Oryctolagus cuniculus: one gene and its partners. The protein of the gene in region 3 interacts with the protein of the main gene of each other region in a pairwise test. Links are inferred from orthologs where the notes say so. Each region holds a gene or a part of one and is shown on either strand. Other genes may lie near its edges. The genes, in order: RAB22A, RAB5C and APPL2.

The links.
Region 1: the proteins of APPL2 (region 3) and RAB22A interact in binary tests that used the Homo sapiens proteins (3 or more experiments, as listed by UniProt). The two-hybrid records come from large-scale screens. The link is inferred for Oryctolagus cuniculus from reciprocal best matches to the Homo sapiens genes APPL2 and RAB22A.
Region 2: the proteins of APPL2 (region 3) and RAB5C interact in binary tests that used the Homo sapiens proteins (3 or more experiments, as listed by UniProt). The two-hybrid records come from large-scale screens. The link is inferred for Oryctolagus cuniculus from reciprocal best matches to the Homo sapiens genes APPL2 and RAB5C.

Annotation. Positions count from the first base shown.
Region 1 is NC_091442.1:3,835,369-3,839,011, forward strand, and holds part of RAB22A (ras-related protein Rab-22A), read right to left. Parts: intron 2,165-3,643; coding exon 2,093-2,164; intron 2,006-2,092; coding exon 1,899-2,005; intron 1,298-1,898; coding exon 1,188-1,297; intron 1-1,187. UniProt on the Homo sapiens protein: Plays a role in endocytosis and intracellular protein transport. Mediates trafficking of TF from early endosomes to recycling endosomes. Required for NGF-mediated endocytosis of NTRK1, and subsequent neurite outgrowth.
Region 2 is NC_091448.1:20,643,089-20,646,831, reverse strand, and holds the start of RAB5C (ras-related protein Rab-5C), read right to left. Parts: upstream 2,613-3,743; 5' UTR 2,454-2,612; intron 2,274-2,453; exon of another isoform or gene 1,538-2,273; intron 1-1,537. UniProt on the Homo sapiens protein: The small GTPases Rab are key regulators of intracellular membrane trafficking, from the formation of transport vesicles to their fusion with membranes.
Region 3 is NC_091442.1:107,909,909-107,913,651, forward strand, and holds the start of APPL2 (DCC-interacting protein 13-beta), read right to left. Parts: upstream 2,534-3,743; 5' UTR 2,330-2,533; coding exon 2,276-2,329; intron 2,030-2,275; exon of another isoform or gene 1,857-2,029; intron 1-1,856. UniProt on the Homo sapiens protein: Multifunctional adapter protein that binds to various membrane receptors, nuclear factors and signaling proteins to regulate many processes, such as cell proliferation, immune response, endosomal trafficking and cell metabolism.

The DNA of each region.
Region 1 (3,643 bases), about 100 Mb from region 3:
GCTCAGAGGCTGGTGGTCTGTTCAGTTCATGGGACTCCACACACGTCAGCAAGGCCTGCTCCCTCAGACCTCAGATCAAAGACCATCTCTCCAGAGAAGCCTTCCCTGACCGCCTGCAAACGTACTTCTTTTAAAAATTTCACTCTAGGGGCTGGCGCTGTGGCTCACTTGGTTAATCCTCCACTTGCAGCACCGGCATCCCATATGGGCGCCGGTTCTAGTCCTGGCTGCTCCACTTCCAGTCCAGCTCTCTGCTGTGGCCTGGGAAGGCAGCGGAGGATGGCCCAAGTGCGTGGGCCCTGCACCCGCATGGGAGACCAGCAGGAAGCACCTGGCTCCTGGCTTCGGATCGGCATAGCGCTGGCCATGGTGGCCAGTTGGGGAGTGGACCAAAGGAAGGAAGACCTTTCTGTCTCTCTCTCTAACTCTACTTGTCAAATAACAAAAAAAATTTCACTCTAAATTATTTCCTCTTTATCACTGATTGCTATCTGAAATGATCCTATTTATCTGGCGTTCAGGGTGCGCCTCCCTCGGCAGGCACTGCAGGGGAGCGGGGCTGCGTCTCTCCCTGGCCGTCTCCCTGGCCGTCTCCTCTGGCCGTCTCCCTGGCCGTCTCCCTGGTCTGGCAGCTCCCAATCAACGTTTCGATGAATCTGAATGCAGCGAACACGCACAGCTGCAACCTGCAGAGCATCCCGAGGGAGCAGCAGGCCGGCTCCTGGCTGGCGGCACCACAGCGGCGCCGCGGGACGGGAAGGGCAGCGCGGGGAGAGAGGGCTTCCCTGTCTCTCGCCTGTATTCATTTTCGAGGGTTTTCTTTCAGTGAAATTACACCTGTATTTCATTCCCTTTTATTTTGTTCATTTTCAATGACCTTGAACGACTGATTGAAACATTTAAATAGAGAAAGAGGGAGAGATGACAGCTTCCACGACCTCAGCACCCTGGGCATTGTTCACTCAGCGGCACGTTCTTTCTGGAAGGGCCACTGTCCTCAGGCAGCAGCTCTCCACAGTTACACGATGATATGGAGCCGGCTGTTACTCTCATGTTCTCAAATCTCATTTCACTGAGGATATCAGAGCCTGGACTGCTCTGAGCAAGGTGGGAATTCTAACCAGAAAGATAATTCTATTTTAACTTGCTCTGCACAGAGGAAACCCGTAAGGCATACAGATACTCACTAATTTCTATAAAGAGTTCATTTATGTTTATCGCGTTTTTTGCGCTGGTCTCTACAAAAATTGCATGAATGGAGTCGGCATAGTCCTTAGCATCTCTCTCCATGACTTCTCTGGAAGGCAAAAATTGCAAATCAGAAATTCTACCCATTAAGTTCTTAATGCTATCCCCACCTACCTAGCAGTCAGCCAGATTTGTGACGACACAGGATGTCCTGAATGGCTGTGACAGAAGAACTGACCACACGTTCTTCCAAGGAGACCACTTCTTTGGTTAGAAAACAACAAAGCAAAGCTCACAACCACCAGCAATGCAGCTAATGGAATGACCAGGGACTGGCAGGCATCCCCCCACCCTCACCCAAATTAAACAACACAAAAACCCACAAGCCCCTTGTTTTGTGAGTCATGGAAGTGGCACAGAGACATGCCCAGTCAGTGTGCCTGAGCACTCAAGTATTCAGGGCTGCACTGAGTTCCGATACTGTCAAGTGCGATGCAATCAACGTTTACGTAAATCACACACCCGCTATGTAAGTAACAGAATTAGCTCCAAACTGTAATTTCAGTTTGAAACTTCAGGACTGCAACCATACAACAAAAAGGAATTTTTCAATGACAGAGATAAAATAACAGCAAGATTTTATGGTGAATATTGCTCATTAAGAAAAGGAACAGATAATCACACTGTAATCTCGTGTTCTAATAACTCACCTGACGTCGATAAGATCACACTTATTTCCTGCAATGGCAACCACAATATTGGGCGGCCCGTGCTGTCGAAGCTCCTTTACCCAGTTCTTTAACGTGGAGAATGTCTCCTGCGACACAGGGAAGAGCAAGTGGAGATCTGAACGACCCAAAGAGAACTCTGAACGCCGCCCAAAGACAATTGCTTAGAGTCTTACTTCTTTTGTAATGTCATAGACGATGATGGCTGCAGCCGACCCACGATAGTACATTGGTGCTAAGGCACGGAACTGTGGAAGGAAGAGTAAACAACAGAATTGAGGCAGCCAGTGAACACGCTTTTTACTAGACTTTTTCAGCCTCTTATCCAGGCACAAAAGCTAATCTTTTTCTTAAGCCAAAGATGATGACACGACGCTTTAAAGCAAATGAACCAGTAATTACCAGAGGCAACAACTTTTAATGTAACACTGAAATGTCTCTCAGAAGACAGTTTACAATACAGTTTTATAGGAATTAAATATGTTGCTATAAACAATTGTTTCAGCTAAAAAGGCTTTTTAATTGAACTCCATGTTATAATTCCTAAATTCATTTGTTCAACAGTTCTTTAAACTTTGGCTTCCCAAACTATCTAGGAGATAGAAATAACGTGGTAAATGGCTCTCTGGAGGAGGGGCTGCCTCTGGGATGGAAGAGCTGACCGTCCCACCGAGATGAGCGCACGTCCACACTCACCACCGGGACGCGTCTGCAGCTTCTGTTCTGATCATGCCACACACGTGCACCCAGCTCCTAACCAGCTTCACGCCACCCACCCCTCCTGCCCCTGCTCCACCACCACAACAGAGAGGAGAGGGCAGGGAGAGGACAAGCATTTAAACAGCCAGGCTGATCAGTGGGCATTTCTCTTGATGAGGAGGAGATGGAGAATGGCGAGCCTTTCCCATTCCTGGGAGGTGGGCCAGTGCAAGCATCTTACACTACACGTGGTGCCAGCATTCAAATCTGCACTTCTACTTCATCACACACCCTGACCCCTGCACCCGACGGGCACCACGGAGCTCACACCCTGCCCTGCTCCTGGTGCCAAGCACGGGCAGGACTGGACCTCACAGGGAAGCAACCTGTCCACGTGAGTAACAAGTGAACAGTGGGCTTTGTACTCCTCCTCCAACGAGCTTACTCACCTTTTGGCTTTTGGGCTCCCCTATTAATACTTGGTTTCTCACAGGAAAGTGAAATCATGACTGCTAACTCCCTGAGAGAAGACACCGGATCTATTTAGTACAACATTTAATCTCAGGGAACCAAGAATTAGTGAGTGCCTCGTTGAGAGCTGGTGAGGATGGGGCAGTCAAACCACACGCTGGACCCAGGTGTCCACGCACAGACACTGCTACTGGGCTGTCTGAGAAAACCACCTGCCCCTGCGGTGAAAGCCCGCTGATTTCCAATAAAATGATGTCAGGTTTTGGAAGAAAACGGAAGTTGAAACCAAGAAAGCATTCTACAGAAGGAAACGACCTCATTAGCTGAGAGAGACGCAACCTCTGCAGCCTAGCAACAGGCAGAGGACACAGCCGGGGCCAAGCACGGGCTGGCTTCATGCTTGCTGCACCCCTGGTGCGGCTTCTTCGCTGGGTCCTCTTCTGAACTCCAATTTGTCGGGTGAAATTCACATAAAGAACAGAGATCACCACTGCACGGTTTGACAAGCTGACAAACGTACACAACCTGCAAACACTCCACACCAAGATATAAAATAT
Region 2 (3,743 bases), on a different chromosome or scaffold from region 3:
GGAGGCCCTCCCGCCCTCACTGGGGCCCAGGAGGCCCCCGAGCCCAGTGGCTTTCACTTTCACTTTCCAACCATCAGCCGGCAGGTTCCCAGGAAACTGACGGCAGTCAGATGTCAGCGAACTTGGGCCCTGCAGAGCACCAACTCCTGTCAGGGCCCCTGCAGGCAGAGCACAGGGGGCCAAGGAGGAGGCCAGGAGGCCGGGGTGAAGATGGGGGAAGAGATGGGAAGCAGAGCAGCGCCAGGGACAAGGATGGTGCAGGGGCTCAGAGCCTGCACTGTGCCCCTGATGCTCACCCTACCTGTTCATTCATTTAAGGGCCAGTCACTAGGGAAGGCCGAGGTCACATCTGAGCCCAGATCCCAAGCCTCAGCGCCATCACCTCCTAACCGCGTGGTCTTAGGCATCATCTCCAATGTGGAAATGCAAATCTCACTACCTCCCAAGGAACGTGTGAGGGACGTGTGTGAAAAGAAGTCTGCAACTCTGCAATGACCTAAAGCAATTAGCAGTTACCATCACCCTGTAGTATAGCAGCAGAAAAAAGGCCAGCTCGCTGTGACGGGCCCAGGGAAGGAGGGAACATGTTAGAGAGGAGGGGCTTCTGCCCCACACAGAGCCCTCCCTCTGCCAGGCAGGGTTCGTCCTGTTACGATGCTTTAATTTTTGGAGGCCAGAGTGGCTACACAGCCACCCAGAGCTGTACAGCCTTCCCCACTGTTCTGAACAGGGAGCTGCTCTTCCCGAAGCCTGCTTCCGAGTCAGAGCTGCAACGCAAAGAAGAACCCCTCGGACGGCCGCTCGGCCTCATCCCTGCACTGCTGCAGCGCTCCGCCAGCCACGGCCCACCCCGTCAGAACCAGCGGCCCTGCCCTCAGCCCCACAGCCCCACCAGGTCCGATGAGGAGGGCGGACAAAGTCTCCAAGGAGCCCACACGGGCTCAGGGCTCGTGATCCAGCTGTTGAGCCCAATAAGGAAGTTTTGCTTTGTTGTCCAATAAAAAGTGAAACAAGTGCGTTCAAGACCGAGCTCAAAAGACTGTAGGGACCACACACTAGCAACTGTCCAGAGCAGCAAAAAAGATCTCAAAGCAGAAACACCTTTAACACTGGGAAGCAGCAGCCAAGGGCAGTGAGGGCGGCCCAGGAACACCAGGAGCTCCGGCGATTCCGGCAGCGTGGGGCTCTCCTCCCTTCCTCCCCTGCAGATAGCAAGGGTCAGTCCTGGCCTCAGGCAAGCTGCTCCTCATTAAGGTAGTCTCTGGCCTGTACTTTGGCCACGTAACAGAACGGTCTAGCCTGGTCTGAGACAGCAGCCATTTCACACACCCAGTTCCTAAACAACAGAGTAGGATCCTATGGCAAAACAGCCGGGGGGAGGGGAGGGCAGCCCTTTCTAGCAGATTTGGGAACTCCTCTTGCTACAGAAATTAGCTAAGAACCCAAGACTGCCACTGTGCCCTCGACTCATTGGTCTGTAGTACGTCCAAGCCCCGGGGACTGAGGCGAGGCCCCGGTGAGGGTGGACCTGTTGCTGGGGCGGCGGTCGAGTGTGTGTGTCTGGGAGCAGCAAAGAAACGGTCCTTCAAGCCCCAGCTCCTCACTTCTCTGGGCTTATTCTCTCCTCTACAGCCCAGCGGACAAGGCAGTCCCGCAGAGGCAGCTTGGGGAACCGCTCACGTGCTCTCGGGAGGACAGGGCTGAGCCTGGAGCCGAGGGGGAGGAGTAGGGGAGCCAGAAGATAATGAATGGGCAGAGCCACCCTGACCTAGCATTGAGCAAACCTCAGCTGAATTCTTCAGAGGCAGGAAGAGAGATACACTCAAGAGGACAGGGCCGGGGGACAGCGGGGACAAAACAAGAAGGCTGCTCGTTCCCAAGGAGTGCCCCGCGCCCCAGACTCCGCTGAGGTCCTGGCTGGCTCTCTGGCTGGAGGAGGGAGAACGAGTCGGGAGTTGTGGGAGCACACACACTTCTATGCGCGTGGAGTCGCCTCCCCCAGACCACCCTCCCCCAAAGGAAATCGAGACAAGACTTCTCCAGGGCTGGCGGGGGACAACTGCTTCTGTGGGACCGGGGTGGGGGGGACACGGCGACAGACAGCCCTCCCCGCCACCTCTACGGGAGAAGAGGGGCAGGTTCCTGCACACCTGGCAAAGACCGGCCGATTCTGGGAGCAGGGAGAGCGGAACTCAGGGTCCCTCTCCGCCGCGACTGGACTGGACAGGCCAGAGGAGAGCCGCAGGGGTTTCCCCAAGGTTCACAAAGGGCAGGTAAGTCGAGGAAAGAAGGGATCTTCCTGTGGCCTGACGCCTGCGGAGCGCCTTAAGAAGGGGCTACGGGTCGGGGGAGGGGTCAGTATCCCCCTAAGATAGGGCTGGGCAGAAGGAAGGGCTGCCCCGCAAAGGCAACTGGGCTGGAGAGACACTGGATCCCAGGACAGGCACACTCACAGCGGCTCCGGGGACGGCGGCGTTACTTGGGGACGGGGCTCGGACAGGTTTCGCTCCTCTCCCCCCCGGCGGTGTCCCAGGCTCCGGCCTCCACTTCCGCCTTTCAGCCGCTCCGGATCCGGATCTCTACCTCCGCCCCGCCCCTCTTACTCCCAGGTGACTGACAGGGCGGAGAAGCCAATGGGAGGCCCTCCTGGCCGACCCATAGGCGGTGCCGGTGAGGGTCGCGGGAGAGGCGGGAGAGAGCGAGCGAGGGACGGCGGGACTTGTAGTTCGCAGCACTGGGCGGAGCCGTCGCCTGCTTGGGACTTGGCCTTAGGGTGGAGCCGGCTGGGGCGAGGCGGAGCCGGCCTGGGCTGCTAATCGCGTCACTGCGGGTTCCAGGAGCCCCGAGGGAAGGCGAATGGCTGCGGAGCGATGGGAGAGGGCAGACGACTGTGTGTGTAGAACTGGGGAGGGGGCAAACGTGATGTGAATGAGTTCGTACGGGAGGCCGCGTGGGTCTCGTGCACTCGCTAACTGGGAGCAGCCCCTGGCCACGCTTCCTGAAGTTGGGGGCACTGTGTGATGGGGAAGGCGCTCTGGGATGCTAGGTGACATAGAAGGGGGCGCTTTATAAACCCTCCTGCGTTGGGCTGGTCCCTAGACACACAGAACCACCTCTGCCCCTCTACCCCTCCCCACACCCGACTGGAAGCAGATACAGAGCTGGATACCTGCTGCCTCAGCTGGAATCCCCACCCCCACGTAGGTTGAGACATTTCCGACGCCTCTCCCTCAGGTTTAGGGCCACTTCTCCTTATTCTCCCCGCCCCCCCTTCCCCTCCTCAGCCCCTCACCTCCCAACACAAGCCAGTACCTCTCCTATTTCTTCCTCTCACTCCTCAGGGACGCTACCCAAAAGCCCTATGGAATCTGTCTGTGACAGCCGCCATCACCCGTCGTAGCCTAGAGGCTGAGCTGCAGAATCTGGCTGCACATCTGGCTGCAGCTGGTTAGCAGGTGCTTCTTTCTTTAGAACATCCACAGCTCCCCTCCTCCTGGCAGCCACCATCAGAGAAGTGAAAGCTGGGAGGGCTTGGGAGGGCAGGGGGCATGGGGCAGGGTGAGATTCCCACCAGGAGCTTGGCTGGTGCCCAGCTCTTCTCCCAGCGCCTGCTGCACGGAGCCCAGCAACCCCTCCCTGGGTAGGAAGGGTAGGGAGTCCCCTGGGCACTCCTTGCCAAGGCTGGAGGTAGGCCTGAGCCAGGACTCTGTCCCTCCCACATACGTGTATCTGGTGAGGGGGGG
Region 3 (3,743 bases):
GACAGTGGCCAGGCCAGGGGCCAGGGGCCTGGGCTAACGTGCGCAATCCTCTAGTCATGGCCATCGGCCGGGCCGCCGAGCTCTCGGGCAGTGCCTTCTCTTCTCTGCTCTCCAGTCGTTTCTAGAGGACCAGCTATAAAAGATGGCTGGGGGATCCAGTGAGCTGATACAACAGGGCCTGGCAATAAAACGCACTCAGGAGCTCCGGCTGTCTTCATCTTTTCACGTAAGAGGAAGGTGCTGGGCAAGCTTCCCTCTGGTCCGAGTCTATGAATCGCCCTGGGAGCGAGGCCGGGCCGGGCCAGGCCCAGGCCACCTGCCATCCAGCGCTACCCGCTCTGCGGAGCGTCCCGGACCTTACAGTGCGCGTGCGTGCTGTTCCACAAGCACAACAGGACCCCTCACAGGGTGCGGCCGAGGTCGGCAGCAATGATAGAGGCACTCCCTTCGTGAAGAGGCACGTCCAAGCGCAATGACAGTGTCCACAGTCATAAACGCCACGCGTACAGCCGCAAGCAGGCAGACAGGACGGACCGCTGCGGCTCCTGCGGCTCCCTGAGCACACACCTGGGCTCCCTGCCTCTCGCTCTGCAGATCTGGGCTAACTGGGCCGGCCTCTCGGTGGGGATTTGCTGACCCGCCCCCATCCCAGGAGAAGTCAGGGACAGGGTCGGAATTAGAATCCAGGCCTGCCAGACCGCTCACTGCGTCCTCAGGGCAGAGTAAACCCTACAAACCACTCTCCCAGTGTAGACTCGCTTGTGGGAGCCAGGACCTTAGGGAGGACAACATGGCGGCAGTTAGTGCGACCTCTCTCACGTGGCTCGGCCATCACCACGTCTGGTAAGGAAAGCAGTGTATCTTAGCACCTCGGTATCCCCAGCCACAGAGCAAACAGAAATCCCTGGTTACAGTGACTGTTAGAAACTTCCTCTTTCTGACGTCCAGATCCCACACAACAGGTACAGATGGCTGAGGTGCCTTCTGAAACTGTCTTCTGTCCACTGAACAACACAAGTCTCATACAGGAGGCCTTGGGAAGGTCAGGCAGCCCAGTGGATGTGAATTTAAGAAAGGAAAAAAAAAAGCCACAGCTTGCTTTCAGTTACGCAGGAATGGGCACGCAGAGCTTCTGATCTATTCTGGGCTGGAGGGGTGCTGAGCAGGTGTAGGGACCTGCACTCAAGGATCACCCTAGGAGGGCGCGATTCCCTCCAGGGAGAAAAGGGACTGGGACCCAGGACGACCAGGCAAGACCAGAACAGCTTAACTGCATTCGGATTTTCCCAGAGTGGAGACAGTAAGGAATAGACACTTATTTCAATAACCCAAGAATGCACACAGGAGGGCAGATTTGAAGTTGGGGAAATGTTAAAGGAAGAGGAATGGGGCTGGCGCTGTGGCACAGCAGGTAAAGCCATCGCCTGCAGTGCCGGCATCCCATATGGGCGCTGGTTCGAGTCCCGGCTGCTCCACTTCCGATCCAGCTCCCTGCTGTGGCCTGGGAAAGCAGCAGAGGATGGCCCATGTCCTTGGGCCCCTGCACTCACGTAGGAGACCTGGAAGAAGCTCTTGGCTCCTGGCTCCAGATCAGCTCAGCTCTGGCCTTTGCAGCCATTTGGGGAGTGAACCAGCAGATGGAAGATCTCTTTCTGCCTCTCAAATAAAATAAATAAATCTTTTAAAAAAGGAAGAGGAACAAAAGACCCCAGAGCAAAGGCTCCGGGTCAGGAACTCATTTGCTGAAGCTACAGGCAGCTTTGGCCCGCAGCTCAGAGCCTTTGACTCGCGTGTTTGCTAAACAAGCTCCCCTGTGCCACAAATAGGGCAAGCAGCGTAATCCTCTCTCTGCAAGTGGGACAACGATGCCAGGGAGGCCTGGGGCCGCGGGGACGGCATCCGGCTCCTCGCCTCCCATCCTGGCCCGAAACCCACCAGGTCTCATGACACCAGTACTAGCGCGGGACGGAGCTCGCAAGCAGTGAAACAGGACAAGACCTCGCGCCAGACCCAGCCGACAACTCTCCAGGTACTTCCCCACTGCACTCAACAGCCAGGAGGGACACGCATCACCCCTACTTTGCACAGGACAAAGCGAAGACACCAAACGCTGATCTGCCCCGAGCACTCGGCTCCTAAGGCAGGCGGTCCTCACCCCACAGCTCGGTCTCAGCTGAGGCTGGAAGGTCGTCACGACACCGTCCACGACCCCCACGGCCGCGGGGTCTGCCCGCCCACCCCCTCCGGAGGATCCGGCCTCACGCCGCGGGCGTACCTGGGGGCTGTCCTGCAACGCCTCCTCCAGCAGGAGCTTGTCCACGGCGGGCATGGCGCGGCGCGGCGGGGCCGAGGGCCGGACGGGAGGACGAAAGGCGAGAGGCGCGGCCGTCCAGGGTGCTGTGGGCTCCGGCGACGCGGCGGACGCTCCGTGCCCGCGGTAGCCACGCGCGCGCCCACGCCTGCCCAGTGGCCGCCGCCGCCCGCCCGCCGGCCCGCCTCCCCGGCCAGCCCAGCCCAGCCCCCGGCCAGCCGGCCGGATCAACAGGAAGTGTGGCGAGCGGAGGCCGGGACACCGGAAGTGTGGCGGGATCAGGCCAGGTACCGGAAGTGTGGCTGCCCCACTTCCGCTTCTGCACGCAGAGGGATTGCTTGCGGTGTTGGGGCTCCGCTTTCGGCAGTGAGCGCACAGAATGAGTGAAACCGAAGAAAGGGGTCTCTAGGGTAGGAAGATAAGGCTTTATCTGCTTGTGGGCGCCCGAAAAGCCTGCTGAGTGGAAGGAGATAGGAGCGAACGGATTTTGCTGCGGTTATTCTCACTACACACGAGGACAGCCCTGCTCTTGGCACATCTGGTTCAGTGCTGTCATCGGACAGGAGAAAATGGGACGCAGAGAATTAAATGACTTGGTTAGGGTCAAGCTGAAAGCCAGAGGAAGAGGGATGTCATTGTGCCCTTGGCCTGCGCCATTCTATGGCTTCCATCCTGCTTGGTTTCCCCACCATATACTTTCTTCCCTGAAGGGGAATCATGCTCATACGTGCTGCTCCATTTTCCTCTATTTCCTACCAAGTGCAATTCAGTTAATTTCACATTACCTTCATATAATATCCCAGACGCTTTAAAAATCTAATCTGTCCCTTTTAAAACTATTGTGAAGTTTCGGACATCCCCTTAACAGTATCTGAAATTCGTGGACACCTGTGAGGTTAGTGACAGGGGTTTGAAGATGGACAGTGTGGAGTTGCCATGACATCCGGGGAGAGAGAGGATGAGCCCCCTGCAAGTCGTATGTAACCTTTGGCCCATTGAAGACCAATGGGGGAAAGACACCGTTAGACATAAAAAGGGCCCAAGAAGGGACCAGGTCAGAGAAAGACTCGGGGTTTGAGAATGAGAAAAGAAAGACGGAAGGGAGGAGAGGGGAGGTGCAGCTGCCAAGGGTGCTCCGGGCTCAGGTGACCCGTTTGGAGAAGATGCTCAGCAAACGGCATGGGGGGAGGGGGTAGGCAAGTTTTTTCCTCTGCCTGCAGTGCCGTTCCTCCTGCTTCCCTGTCTCGCCGGCCCAGCTACCACCTTCACATCCCAGATTAACGTGAGCTTCTGTGAACATTTCATTTCCTCCTGTCCCCCTAAGGGAAGTAGGTCTTCCTTTCCTTCAATGTGCATCCATGGCACTCGGCTGGATTGTTCTAGAATAACACCTGTAATTGTTCCCAACCCAGCCATCCAGCTAGAGTGAGCA